2 linked regions of the Lepisosteus oculatus genome follow. The protein of the gene in region 1 interacts with the protein of each later gene in a biochemical or structural test. Links are inferred from orthologs where the notes say so. Each region holds a gene or a part of one and is shown on either strand. Other genes may lie near its edges.

What was found.
Region 2: the proteins of lcat (region 1) and apoa1a form a complex in vitro, tested with the Homo sapiens proteins (6 studies listed by BioGRID and IntAct, with this or other methods). The link is inferred for Lepisosteus oculatus from reciprocal best matches to the Homo sapiens genes LCAT and APOA1.

What each region holds. Positions count from the first base shown.
Region 1 is NC_090715.1:11,488,100-11,495,798, reverse strand, and holds the start of lcat (phosphatidylcholine-sterol acyltransferase), read left to right. Parts: upstream 1-4,684; 5' UTR 4,685-4,892; coding exon 4,893-5,049; intron 5,050-5,968; coding exon 5,969-6,125; intron 6,126-6,533; coding exon 6,534-6,649; intron 6,650-7,015; coding exon 7,016-7,111; intron 7,112-7,699. Other genes in the region: ccdc135 (dynein regulatory complex subunit 7), read right to left, coding at 493-638. UniProt on the Homo sapiens protein: Central enzyme in the extracellular metabolism of plasma lipoproteins.
Region 2 is NC_090718.1:4,780,027-4,787,571, reverse strand, and holds the start of apoa1a (apolipoprotein A-Ia), read left to right. Parts: upstream 1-4,524; 5' UTR 4,525-4,579; intron 4,580-7,545. UniProt on the Homo sapiens protein: Participates in the reverse transport of cholesterol from tissues to the liver for excretion by promoting cholesterol efflux from tissues and by acting as a cofactor for the lecithin cholesterol acyltransferase (LCAT).

The sequences.
Region 1 (7,699 bases):
CAGTGTGAAACACAAGACATAGGAGCCCACTGAAGTTCAGGAAGAAATCTTTGAAGTTCAAGAAGACTTCTGTCTAGCATCCACTAGAAAAAACTAAACATCATGAAAAGCTGTACTTACTGTGGGCTAAAGGACATATCTACTCATTGTGGGCAACTAGAACTACAGCTTCCAGACTTCTACATCAAGCAATGACAATGATACAATCATTGATTCAAGACCCAGATTACCCAGATTCAAAAGCAATAGAACAATGTCATTGTTTTACTCCCACAGCTGTTAACCTGCTCAATTTGGATAATTAACTGTACATTTTACTTTTAGATACATATTTATTTTCTTATGGTACATGTATGTCTTATTTGTGAATGGGTCCATGTTGTGTTAAATGTATTGCGTACTGTGTTATGTCAGTTACCTGCTTGCAAAGCAAATTTCCCATTTGGGACAATAAAGTAAGTACAGTAATGTTGACATGAGGTTTGTACTCACTGCGGGCTGGCAGGGGTAGTGATGTGTATTTTGGACAGTGTCTCCTCCAGATCCTGCAGCTCTGTATTCAGATCTTCATCCCCTGCCTCCTCCTCCCCCTTCCACTCTCCAGCCTCAGACAACTGCTCCTCTGGCAGCGTCTCCATTTCTTACAGGACTGAAAATGAGAAAGAGGAGGACAACCTGAACTCCACAGGATCACCTCTCACCCTGTCTTCAAAGGGACAGAACTATCAATCAATCAGAGTTTATTTATCAAATGCACAATAATACAGCGTGCAGTTATTATTATTATTATTATTATTATTATTATTATTATTATTATATTATAGCAGTAGTTGCTGGCAACAAAATGTCTATCAATATCAATTACATCATATTTTTGTTTTACTATTCTTTATAATCATATAATCATATAATTGTTCTATCCATTCTTTATTTGAATTACCCTAAATATATCTATAAATATATACAGTAGGAGGCATCAGATTCCTCCTGTTAAGGAGGATTCCTTGTGCTTATTGTGTGCCTTGTGCTTATTGAAACAGAAGGCACAGAATTAAATTATCTACTGTAATTACCAAGAGAAAACAGTGTAACACAGTACACCTTGACATTTTATGTTAAATACATTTAACAATTACAAGTTTACGTCGTGCCACAGAACAGTGTAAATATATCCTTACTGCAGCTGCTAAATATTTAAGGAAGCTCGACCATTTTCCGTTCAGTATACAAAACTAAATAGTTTATCCGGTTTCATAATTTATTTACGGTTTAGTATACGATAGTTTAACTATAGTTTATAAACAGTTTCTGAAACTTCTAACCCCTGTTTTCATAAATCACATTGTTTATTTACTCAGCCGCATAATCAACAGGTACATTCTACTGTCACTGATTGTTTTTTACCCCTTGTTTCATTTTTAAACATGTAGATATTGAAATAAAAGATTAATCGCACCATTCCCCATCACAGTACCTCTGAACGACCGTCCCGTTTACGACCGTCTCCATGGCCACGGCAGCGCTGGATCACGCTGTTCCGTGGCCCCGCCCCTTGCGTAAGCAGCGTGAGGAGACGAGCTGCGGGTTTCTCCTGGTTTGAACTATTGAAAAGCGCGGACATTTTCTACATCTGACTAGTGCTACTTGAAGATATAGATCTTAAAGGACTCCTACGGTTTCATTTTCGATTTTGCACGTGAAAAACAATTACCAAATAACAACAAAAAAAATAAGGCCACATCTTCCTTTTATCTTCTGTATCTTCATGTACAGGCTACGCTCTTAAATACCTGACCGAGCCCCGACCCTTAAAAAGCAGAAAGTATTCTAAGACTTGATGATCTCAAGTTCTAGAAATCTTCTATTAATTAATTAACCCCCACCTTTTGGAAACAGCAATTGCTTGGGGGGGAACTCATGAAAACAATCTAAATGCTAAAAACATTGATCTGTTGAGTGCGGATTCCGGAAACCAGATTCTCACCAGAAATAAAAACCAGACTAGACTAGACCAGACCAGACCATATACGTTTCAAATGTAGCTCCCTCGGTTGTCACGTCGGCGCAGTGGATCGTATTGCTGTGGCCCTGGGTTCCATTCTGGACCCGGGGTGCTCTCTGTGTGGAGTCTGTGCTCCCCTACGATTGTGTGGGTCAATTCCAGGTGCTCTGATTTCCCCCTTCAGTCCAAAGACATGCTGGTAGGTGAATTGGTTTCAGGGAAGATTTGGCCCTGGTGAGAGTGTTTGTGTGCGTGGTTGTATCCGTGTGTGCCCTGCGATAGACTGGTGTCCTGTCCAGGGTGTATCCTGCCTCATGCCTGTTGTTTGCTGAGATAGTCTCCGGCTCCCTTCTGACCCTGTATGGGCTGAAGTGGTTAGAAAATGGATGGATGGATTTCTCTTGAATATTAAACAGTCACCCACTTTGTATCACATTTACGCCTTCAGAGGAAAACTGAGCCCAGGAACAGGCGGGAGGATTGGACAACTACACATGTGCATACTTATAAAATCAATGGGGAAATACTCTCCTGGAGTAGTTCACTTACGAAGGTTGTCCATTGAAAAGTCTGTAGTGACACAGTCATACAACTAGAGGTCGCCAGAATTGCTTCAAAGGACTGGTCTCACCTACAGTATATGAACTGATAGTTTTGATCATTGTCCTGGAACGCAGACAATCTCACATGGGATTCATGGTTCACTAGAAGTGGGGTTTAAACAGGAGTGCTTTTCTGTGATGGACTGGTCTCTCTCATCCAGGGTGTATCACGCTGTGGGCCAGTTGCTTGCTGGGATTGGCTCCGTCTCCCCCACCACCCTGGACTCGATAAAGCAGTTAGCGGTTGTAACTTTGTTAAAACTCTCAAAGTCAGGATCACCACATAGACCACTCATGTCCCATCAGTGTTGGAGAGTTCTATGTGCAAAGGTTGTTTGACCAATGTTACCAGAGTCTGCAATGTTCCACACTATGTAATCATTGGATAACTACATTGCAAATTACCCTGGGTGCCGAGTGTCTGCCAGCAAATAAAGATAGTGAAATATTTGGTACGAAGACATCAGATTTCCAAATATTTACTAAAGTAACCTATTGTTCTGCATGAAAATAAAAAGTTGTCTTCTACAGATAGGGAATAATCCAATGAATTGAAATGGATAACAGTTTGAAAGTATGCAGCTGCCTGTATTTTGGGGAAATTTGAACTTTCTACCTTTTTCCATCTGTATTACAAAACAGGTCTGCACTTGCAATCTCTGTGTGACTGCTGTTAATGTTTCACAATGTTCATATAGTACACATCAACTGTTTAGCTGGTTAGGGGATCAATAGTTCATAGGTGAATTAGATAATGTTTCTGTTCACCAATCCATCAGACAGAAAAGAAACATATTCTTAGGGAACTTCCCCTGTAGAAGAACTTCTCTGATTCAGTATAGGACACAACTTGTAAGTGCAAGCTAAATCAAAACAGACAGTAGCTTTCTATTCCAGAAGCGTATCTGGTTGCAAACAATGCTTGCTCATGCCTGAGTAACTTACCCGACAGAGGAACAGTGGCTGGGATCTTTAAGCAGATGCAGAGGATTGGATTTGATATCCTATCCTTTCACAAACAATGGTAACAAAACAAGGCCGCTGATGACATATCAGCCAGTCTTGATTTGATTTCAAGGCAAATGACTAAACTCTGACACAGTCCTCACACTGTCTGGCACTTCAGTCAACAACATTTTCATCATAGGCTCAGGATTTGCACCTTATTGCATCAATTTGCAGACAATAATAGAACTGCAATGTTGACACAATTGGTCCTGCGGTGCAGCCATAGATACCCGGCTCTCGTACAGGACGCTGGACTTCAGTGGTGCCGTGTGTAATAGGTCTCTTACTGTAAGAGTTATGTCACTTGTCTGGTCTGGACTGTGCAATTGAGGCTCAAGTGATGACAGTTCAAGTACAGGGTCCAAATACACACACTGCTTCTTCCTTCAAACTGAGTCTTGCTGGGGTAAGTGCACTGTTGCTCCTCCTAACCTGCCACTCATGGTGGCAATGGGATCCCTGGCTCCCCCAGGATTGAAAGGGACTATAACACTGTAGCGGAGGCCACTCTGATCAAGAGGTTGAACTCACATTGTAATGACTCAACAAGCTCTTTACCACATTCAAGTCCACCGGGCCACACAATTAGCAGTTACATATATATTCAATTCAATATTCCAGTAATTCACCAGTAAACCTGGAGCGCATTTCTTCAACTTGAGACAAGATAGCATTGTTCTGAGTGACTGCATTAAAACAACATTCAGAGTTAATTGAATAATGTCAGAATGGAGCAAAATAACAGCTTGTATAAAATAAGTATTTAATACCAAAAATACCTAATAAAATACCTGTTTTATTTGAAATAAATAAAATACTTTTTTATTTTTTAACCAAATAAAAAAGCTGAGAGGAGTAATTGAGAGATGAGGTCAAATTATTGCGAGAAGCATCTGTAACCCTTAAAGTCTGGACTTGCCCATCCCAGGCAGAAGATTTCTAGCACAGAGTGATTCCTTTTTGGCCCACTGTCCTCCTCTGAAAGGCTAGGCTTGCCCCTCGGTGTAAAACATTGCATAGAAATTGTTTACTCTAGCCAGAGCTCAGATAAAAAGCTTGTGATTTGTCAACGATGTCTAAAGCCGGAGTCTCATCAGTATTCAGGTGGTGGTGAGATCTGACTGGAGCATTCCACTGGCCTACAGGGTGCTGAGTGCGTACACTGGGCTTCCAGCGTGGGAGAGCTTCTGCCAGAGACTCTGCCCTCGCAGCCTTTTTCTCCATTGGCCCTGATAAGACAGCTGCAGAGGCTCATCAGCGCAGCAGCGAGAGAGAGAATCATGGGCCGCCGCACCTCTGTGTCGCCTCTGCTTCTGCTGCTGGTTCTGGGTGTCTTCCCCCGGCCTTCGCCCGGATTCTGGCTCTTCAATGTCATCTTTCCTCCCAGCGTCGAGCCCAGAGAGTCCCAGACGAACAGCACCCCGCCTCTCATCCTAGGTGAGTGTCAGGGAGGGCAGTCGGGTTCCGGGTCTCCGGAGGAGTGGCGGCCTTTTTGTATTCCAGGAGCATTTTTCGAAAGTATGCATTCAAACCTACCGAAAGCCGTGCTCTTTCAGCTGGTTTGTTAATGCAGTCAGGAGCGTTAAATAATGACACAAAGGCCTGCTGTTAGGTTTCAGAAATAGGTTTTTGTTTTGGGAACATGTGTTTTGTGAAAAGTAGGGAATATCGTATGCATCTTTGCGATTCCAGTGGGTGTTCTATGAATAGTGAACTCAGACTGAGAATTGGTTGTTTCTACTTCATTTATCATTCACCACAACAAATATCCTGCACTATACAACAGCTTCTAAAATAGCCTCTGAAGATACTATTATTATACAGACCTGTAGTCAAAGCTTTTCTCAGAGTGGAGATACTATCAGTTGGACATGACCCCGGTTTCGGCCTGCATTTTTAACACTTGACTGTTCAGGTTTCATTTGCACTGATAAGCTGTGAGCACAGCTTGCCAGGGGTGTCTCATACAGCATGCTGTACTATACTGTTGCACTTTTGGACAAATCTGTGTAAGGAAGTTCAGAGTAGATGATGGACCTATTTAGACTGAAAGTAGAAGATACTTTTTTGCTCAGAGATTTACCACCTGTCCCTCCTAACTGGCTCCCTAGGATACATCTGGATAAGACTCAGTCACACAGTTCTACTTTAAGTCCAACAAATAAGATGGGAGTTAACCTCCTTTAGTTGTGATCACCCTCTGTCCTTGCATTCTTTTTTAAAGTTAGACACAAGGGAAAAACTGGGAACGAGAATCACGATGAATCATTTACAGTAACTCACTCCAAAAATAGGGGAATAAATTGAAAGGAGGCATGTAAAGCATTCTGACCTGTGACCTCTTACCACTGCACAGTGCCAGGAAACCTGGGAAACCGGCTGGAAGCCAGGATTGACAAGCCCAGCCTGGTGCACTGGCTGTGCTACAGGAAGACGGAGAACTTCTTCACCATCTGGATCGATCTCAACATGTTTATGCCCATTGGCATCGACTGCTGGATAGATAACATCCGGTACAGTAGCACCGTCGTGTCGTAGCTCTCACTTTGTTGCCACCAACCTCACCATTTGTGTTGCCTTTCGTCAGGGGAAAAGGGCTCATTGTCAACAAACACCCACTGCTCTCATCTGCCTCTTCACTCAAGAGAGCCCAAAACCAGGAACCAGAAATCTGAGACATTGTCCCTCTTCCCACTCATTGCACCTTCAGTTCTGATCAGAATTGATCCAAGCACGGAGGCTTCTCTTGAACCACGCCTCACTGGTGATCAGACAGCTGGGTGAAACCACCAGTGAATCCCAATCCAAGCTTCACCTCCACCTCAAAACAAGTGCCTTAAGTTACTTTGCATCTGCATCTGCCTACATCAACAGAAACAGACCAGCCTTCCTCTGACTGATCAGAATCTGTGTCATTTCAGGATTGTGTACAACAGGACAACCCGGAAAAGCTCCAATGCCCCTGGAGTAGAGATTCGAGTACCCGGATTTGGCCAGACCTACCCTGTGGAATTTCTGGACACCAACAAGCTAACAGGTGTGCAGCTCTACATACAATACAATACAATACAATGATACAATTGTTATACACCATTACAATATTTTAGATAGGACTGGAAAAACATACCAACGGACATGTTAAAACCAAATGCATTTATGGGTATATTTTAGGTATTATATTATTTAGGTACATATTTTTCAAGGAGTGTCAGAAATACATTCAGATAATGAAGGGTTAAATAGCCTCATATGGTGAATAGCCTGTATTTCCTCTTGGACATTTAACAGGGGAATTCAAGCAAATGACATGCCCTTTTGAGAACTTCCACAGACTAATTAATTGATCACCTTTTGCATTTGTCATATGAGAATGGACTGTGACCACAAATCTGTTGTCTTGCAGGTTATTTCCACACCATGGTGGAGCACCTGGTGAATTTTGGATACGTCCGGAATGAGACCATTCGTGCAGCGCCGTACGACTGGAGAATTGCGCCCAGTGAGTGTCAGGCCTCAATGCAGTACTGAACCCCCACGGCACATAAAAATCTCAGAGAAGGAGAGGTTTGCTGTGATTATGAATCGCACATCTTGTGCTTAATTCACAGTATAATATATTTTATACAACATCTGTCACTGTACATTCTGCCATCTACATTATATCACCCTCCGCAATTCCTGAACACCTGGCACTGGGAAGTGAGGGTTGCTGAGGGCTTGACTACTTGTGAACATGAAATAGCCTTGCCACTACTACTTACCACCAGAGGTCGCTATGGTCAGCCTGGCAATACCCAGTTCAATTGTACTAATTCAAGCGACTTGTCTTGGATAAATGTGCCAGCCTTCTAAATTCGTGATGAAATAATATTGATAGTTTTAATCAATTGTTTTTACTGGCATCATTGGATAGAAGTGCTGTTTAATGAAATGAGTAACTTTATCATCCCTTCACAAAGAGCAATGCCAGTGCCTTTAAGAAATGCAGCTGATGTACTAAGAACTAAGTGATTCCCACTGAGAATTACTCTAGAGGGATAATTATTGAAATGAAGGTCAGGAACCCAAAGTAAAATGCTAGAAGAAA
Region 2 (7,545 bases), on another chromosome or scaffold:
TTGGAACACACAACTGGCTGTGTATACTGTACTGTGCAATATCAGCCATCCTGTAAACATCTGGCTGTGAATATTTGAAAGTATAATCTAACCCCTTTCCCTATTTGGCAGTGAAGTATAGGTTCCAATTACAGACCAAAATTACAATACATTGGACAAACAACCCACAGAAACACAAACATACAGAGCACACAGAATTGGACCAGACACTACTGCTGATTAATATACATAAAAGAGCAATAAAGTATTGGTTACATGTCAGTGAATAGAACTCCTTCAACCACAAGGCCCTGCTGAACACAGAGAAGAGCCCCTTGATCAGCTGGTCCTGTAGTTCACTGACATCAGGACAGCACTACAAAAACAACACATCACAGCCAATCAAATCCCAACACAGGCCAAACAATACCACCGTACCCAGTGGGAAACACACAAACTGGAATGTGCTAAAAAGTCATTTACTCTAGCTAAGTATTTATCTAACCAGGGGGAGAGACAGCAAAGAGCAACAGATCCAGACGAAGTAGAGGCTCAGTGTCCACAGCCTGGCCATAGAAACTGGACACAGGCAGACCTGGCTGTCCAGAGAGGACAGTCACAGTGACCACAGCCTGGACATAGAAACTGGACACAGGCAGAGGGACCTGGCTTCCCAGAGAGGACAGGCTGTGCTCCTACTGCCAGCAGGGAGAAGCAAAGACAGAGATGCACCTTCTGCTGCACTGAAAGAAAGAAGAGATCAGACATTAAACATTCTCCCCTAAAATAACAAGTATAATCCCAGAATTCCCACACCTGCCAGGATCAGAAGAGCTCCCAGTTCTAATGGGGGAAGGAGGAGGAAGCCTCCGTGCAGTATGTGATCTCCCGTCCCAGCCTGAGGCACAGACAGCCTGTTTCATGTGAGATCTGTGATGTCCAATAACACGTTCGTACTGCAAGTGTCTGTAAATGCTGTGTTAATTGTATCAGCTTTGGCCACCCTGTAATCCATCGGTCACCCCAATTAAAAGCTGTTGGAATTGGAATCTGAGAGGCACTGGGACAGAGTGTGAAGGAGATGGAGAAGGGACAGAGGTACACAGAACGGCTGAAAGAGACAGGGAACGAGAGAGAAAAGCAGATGCAGAGCGAGGCAGGAGGGAGCTGCTGGTTCAGCAGTCCTGCTATCAGCGTGAGAGAGTCAGCAATCAGCACTCCACTATCAGCCACTGGCTGTGCTAATCATTAATCCTTCCTTAATCAGCCATCTTATTGACCGCCCCTCTGACACAGCCTGTTCTGCGCTCCACAAACCATCTGACGCTGCGCTTTCACCCACAGGCTCCTGTGCCAAATGGGGCAGCGATGAAGGAGGGGGGTGGGGGGCTGTGAGACCAGCCTCTGCGGCTCACCGCAGTAGTGAAAAGGAAAAGCTCATTAGACTGTTAATAGTTTAATTAATCTAGCCAGTTAGGGAAGGATCACAGGGGAATCAGCTTCAGAAACAGGGCTGCTGCCACTTGTTCCAGACACCCACCACCTTTAGTGTAAAGAAGTGCCTCTGTGTTCTCAGTTTTCCCTGGTGCCCCCGCAATAAGACTGTTGGACTAATACTGGCAACACCTCTAATGATTTGGGAATATGCAATTATTCTCTGTTTTACATTTATAATTAGGAGGATCTGTAGAAATTTTATTTTCACTTGGACATTACAGTGTCAATCAACAGCAAAACGTCCCAATTAAATACGTTATGATTCCATGTTCCACAGAGATGCAGTGGGGGAGGATTCCTGCCGCCCAGCCCTGGGGCCCTGGGTTCAGGTCCTGGGGTGCTGTCTGTGTGGAGTTTGCATGTTCTCCCTGTGTTCTGAACTGTTTCCTCCCACAGTTCAGAGACAGGCTGGTAGGTGAATTGTCTTCTGGGAAAACTGGCCCTGGTGTGTCTGTGTGTGTCCTGTGTCTCCCATATCTTGCTGGGAGAGATTCTGGCTCCCCTGAGACCCTGCACTGGACTAAGCTGTTAGAAAATGGGTGGATGGAACTAAAGACCTGTGGCTTCTTGGGCTGGACTATGCTGTGAGTCGATGGTGTCTGTCACTGCGCAGTGAATAGAAGGATCTATAGTGCACCTAGAGAAATGGGCAGCTAAGCTACTCTGGGCACCACTGGACACCAGGAGACTGGGGTCTGTCCCACACTATGCACTAAGGTGGTCAGAGCTCCTCATGCATAAGCATATAGCAAGCAGTGGAGAATCAGTTTTGGATACGAGTGCAGAGTCCCGCAGCCCGGACTGGTTTGATTCCTGGGCTGACTGTGACCCAGATTTCCTGGACGCTGGAGGGCCTCATACCCTCAGATCTGAGGGTTCACTGTGAAGCTCAGTGGTCAGAAGGTGAAAAAACAGCCAGCAGGTGTAACAGCAGATGAATGGACTCTCTAACTTTCGGACAGGTGTCTGTCAGGCGGCTCCAGCGAGGCTGACCTCTTGTAGACCTGCTGGAAACTGGACTCAGAGGGCAGTGTGAAGACACCGGCACGGCACTCCCTCTGACTGCTGGCAGGGTACGTGCAGCTCAGGGTGATAGATCAATAAAAAATTAACACGCGGAACAGCATAAAGTAAAAGGAGAGCAAAGAGATAATGAAAGCACGGACGTGCAGGTTGACTCATGTTAATTTCAGATCACATGGTCTTCCTTCTGCAACAGATTTAATCCTGAAATTAATCGGCTGTTCTGAGGGACCCACAGTGCCTGTGTGGACAGGTGCCCCTGGACGCTGTGCCTTTAACCAGTCAGTCCACACAATGCTCTGGAGTGAACCTCCTCTATCGAGGGTGAAGGCGTGGGATTAACTGTCTGGGTTTCGCACACATTGCTTGAGAAAGACCAGAAATGAGTGTGCACTGAGTGTGTATAAAGTACAGTATTTAGGGGTAGTGTACTGGTGAGTGCAGTGTGTGTACATATGAATGTGTTCAGTGCGTAGTAGTAGTGTGTATAGTGTGAAGCAGTGCGTTTGTAGTGGTGTGTCAGTGTGTACCAGTGTATATAGTGATCTGTCAGCATGTAATGGTGCGTATAGTGATGTGTGCAGTGTGTAATGGTGTGTATAGTGCTGTGCGCAATGTTTAATTGTGTGTATAGTGGTGTGTACGGTACGTAACGGTTTGTATAGTGGTGTGTCAGTGTGTAACGGTAGTGCTGTGTGCGGTGTGTAACAGTGTGTATAGTGCTGTGCGCAGTGTGTAACAGTTTGGATTGTGGTGTGTCAGTGTGTAACGGTGTGTATGGTGGTGTGTCAGTGTGTAACCAGTGTGTATAGTGCTGTGGGCGGTGTGTAACGGTGTGTATAGTGGTGTGTCATTGTGCAACGGTGTGTATAGTGGTGTGTGCAGAGTGTAACGGTGTGTATAATGCTCTGCACGGTGTGTATCGGTGTGTATAGTGCTGTGCGCAATGTGTAATGGTGTGTATAGTGGTGTGTGCAGTGTGTAACGGTGTGTATAATGCTCTGCACGGTGTGTAACGGTGTGTATAGTGCTGTGCGCAATGTGTAACGGTGTGTATAGTGGTGTGTACGGTACGTAACAGTTTGTATAGTGGTGTGTCAGTGTGTAACGGTAGTGCTGTACAAGTTGTGTCAGTGTGTAACGGTGTGTATAGTGCTGTGGGTGGTGTGTAACGGTGTGTATAATGGTGTGCGCAGTGTGTAATGGTGTGTATAATGCTGTGGGCGGTGTGTAACGGTGTGTATAGTGGTGTGTCATTGTGCAACGGTGTGTATAGTGGTGTGTGCAGAGTGTAACGGTGTGTATAGTGGTGTGTCAGTGTGTAACGGTGTGTATAATGCTCTGCATGGTGTGTAACGGTGTGTATAGTGCTGTGCGCAATGTGTAACGGTGTGTATAGTGGTGTGTACGGTACGTAACAGTTTGTATAGTGGTGTGTCAGTGTGTAACGGTAGTGCTGTACAAGTTGTGTCAGTGTGTAACGGTGTGTATAGTGCTGTGGGTGGTGTGTAACGGTGTGTATAGTGGTGTGTGCAGTGTGTAACGGTGTGTATAATGCTGTGCCTGGTGTGTAACGGTGTGTATAGTGGTGTGTGCAGTGTGTAACGGTGTGTATAATGCTGTGCCTGGTGTGTAACGGTGTGTATAGTGGTGTGTGCAGTGTGTAACGGTGTGTATAATGCTGTGCCTGGTGTGTAACGGTGTGTATAGTGGTGTGTGCAGTGTGTAACGGTGTGTATAATGCTGTGCCTGGTGTGTAACGGTGTGTATAGTGGTGTGTGCAGTGTGTAACGGTGTGTATAGTGGTGTGTGCAGTGTGTAACGGTGTGTATAGTTGTGCACGTGGTGTTGTGGAGCGGAGTGCAGCAGCCTGCGCAGTGTGTGCAGGTACAGAGGACGCTCCTGTCTCCCTGTTTACTGTGCTCCTGACTCACACTAACCCTTGATCCCAGGCTCCAGGCAGTCAGGAGCCGAGGTCAGGGGTCCAGCTCCACGAAAGCAGAGATAGAGGCTGGGAGAGAGAGGATAAAACCCGCCACCACCTCAGCTGGGCCACACACATCGCACACATCCAGGAGAGGTAAGACTGCACTTCCATACGGGAGAGGGACAGGGGAGAGGGGACAGGAGACAGGAGACAAGGGAGAGGGGAGAGGTGAGGAAACAGGGGACAGGAGATAGGGGAGACGGGAGAGGAGAGAGGGCTCTGCTGCAGCAGGTCAGGCTGTGCTTGATTCCTTTACACTTGACGGGAGATTGGAACTGTGAAGCGTTTTTGGATGTGTGGGTCTCCAGAGAGTGATCCTGTCTCTCGGGACTACTCAGACAGAAAGAGTGTCAAACTTTCCTGAGCGTAACTCGGACTGCCCTTGTTTTCTGGCCGAGAACTGGCCGGTTTCTGGACAATCCGCTCTTCTTCCCGACTTAAAAGAGCCGTTTTAGAAGAGGGAGAAACTTTTTCTTGGATTCTCGGGTTATTGAGTGCACACCGACTGATTTCAAACGAGAAGCAGATCGAGACTGCAGGGGCATCAAGGTATCTGAATCAGTTCTGAAAACTGTGGGTTCCTTCGGAAAGGCATGCTGCTGGGTTACAGGGCTAGACGATCTTGGGGCACTCTTTGTGTCTGGGAGCTGTGTGTCCGGAAACACTAAAACTCTGTGCCTTCAAGTAATCAGCTCGCTGAAAGGTTGACAGCAGTTGAGAACATAAGAAAGCTTACAAACGTCCCATCTGGCCTTTTTGGCCCCCTAACAAAGCAGCTAACTGATCCAAGGAATTCCTCCATCTGTGTCTTGAAAGAAGCCAAGTTTGCGGCTTTAACAACAGGGCCGGGCAGCTTTTTCTCTACTCCCACCACCCTTAGTGTAAAGAAGCGCCTCCGGTGCTGACTGGAGGAGCTCGTCCAGCCATTCCCTGAAAGGAGCCAGGCTATCGGCTTCAACTCCGTGGCGGGCTCTATATGACACGAGATCCCTTCTGATTGCACTGGGGCTTCAGGGGTGGATCTGCCGTAGTCGGTGCCAGAGACGTGCAGTTTCACCCTGATGGAGTACGGGTCAGGCCTAGAATTTCCGGTGGTTGCAGCCGGTTCGTTAGAAATGGCTAGGAAAGATCTTGTTTGCCTGTAGCTCGCCTTAGGTGCCCACTAACGGTCGTGACACCACGTCTGAGTCTTTGTGCAGGAGCTGCTGTGATCAGAGCTTTAAGAGGATTGGCTGCTGTTTCATTATCCAAGCTTAGAAAAATCGGCCTGCCTCGGAGGAGGCACAGGGCAGAGTGTGTGTAGGGGCTGTGGATTTTGTGGAAGGGTCTTGTTGAGTACAAGCTTGGTCCGTGTCCTATTTCCGCTGGTGCTGCAGCGTGTGGAGCTGTGTCTCGGCTCGTCTGTGACAGAGTCAGCTTGATAGGGTGTCATCGAGGGACTGCGCAGGCAGTGTGTGTGCCTCTGTCAGTGTGGAGCAGTATGTTTTGTGTGTGTATAGTTTGTCTAGTCTTCATATCTGGGTTTTTTTTTCCACATATTGGCTTCAAGAACAGAAAAACCATGGCAACCATACCTAATAAGACTGGATATTTCAGATATCTACAGCTGTATAACATACACACAGTACATATATCATGTATAGTTTAGTTAATGCATTCTTGTACATTAAAAAATCCAAAACTGTAAAAAACACGTAGATTCACCCATGTGTAGATATACGAGCGCTCACTGTCTGTGAACCTCAGTCTGAAATGCTGTAAACACGCATGAATATGATTTTCATGTATTTTTGTGTGTTGCGGGGCATGGACTTTGTATACTGTACTGTGAGCTGAGAACATGCCGATGCCCTGTGTGAGCTGTGGGGGACTGTGGGAGGGTGTCAGGAGGGAACACCCTCACACGAGAGGAAAGGTGCTATTCTAACATTGCTTTAGGGCCGCAAACTCCAGAGATCAAATACACTGGGGCTTACCACAGATGACTCCACAGAAATCCTTGGCTATATTTTCAGATTGGTAATAACCAATACACTGCACCCAGAATACAGAGCTTTCACTCACAAACCCCAGACGCTAACAGATAAAGCTGTCTCCTAATAACCACTGGTTTATCTCACTTTATCTGTCCCTCCTTATCCAAACTGGCTGTGCTTCGAAGATAGCATGACCCAAAACCCTGCTTTTGATAGCCCTGGGGGCTCAAAGTCCTTAAGTAGAGACTTGGGACTGAGGAGCTGTTGTGGAGCTGAGGATCGCCCTCCTCCGAGGCCTGTCTTATCAGTGCGATTGCAAACTCCCTGCTGGTAACGAGACCCGGCCAGACCCTTGGACCTGAGATACTGCCGGCTGCTCCTCGTGCTGTGATTTCACAGGCGTGTCACCCGAGGTGTGTGAGTGCGTGCGTGTGTGTGGCATTCTACATGTAGCATTCTGGTCAAAATGCCAGCATTTCAGCTGAGCAAAAGTTCCCTTTACTATTATGTGTGGCTCTCCATCCTGTATCGCTTGTGCAAATCGCTGTTGTGACAGGATTCACAATCGTGAAAATCGTGGTGCCTTAGAGGTGTGCACAGGAGGTCCGGAGCCTCGTAGCCCCTGCTCCGGCTCCAGCCTGTCCTTAAGACACACAGGGTGGGTGGGGGTGGGGGGATTTTGTACTAACGGATGGCCTAACAGTAAGATCTAACAGTAGGGGGTGCCCCACTGGCTCGGGCCGACCGGAATGGACTCGTAATCAGGCCCGTGGTGTGAGACTCGACCCCTTGTGAGCCTGGGTCGTTTCTGCTAACAGCACGCTGCGCCTCCGGGCTCCGCCGGCGCCGATCGAAAGGCTCTGCTCGCCCAGCATGAGCCTTTGGCCCGACCATTGCTCTAAACTCGGCTTTGATCTGGACGCCGGAGGGCTCCTGTCCCGCATCAGGGGAGAAAGGCAGACGGGACAGACGCGGAGGCCGAGTCCAGGGGAGACAGTGCGTTGTGGAGATCGGTCGGGTAGCTGGGCGGCCGACTCACAGGCCTGCGCGGGTCTGAGGAGGGGTGTGTCATGACCTCACGCC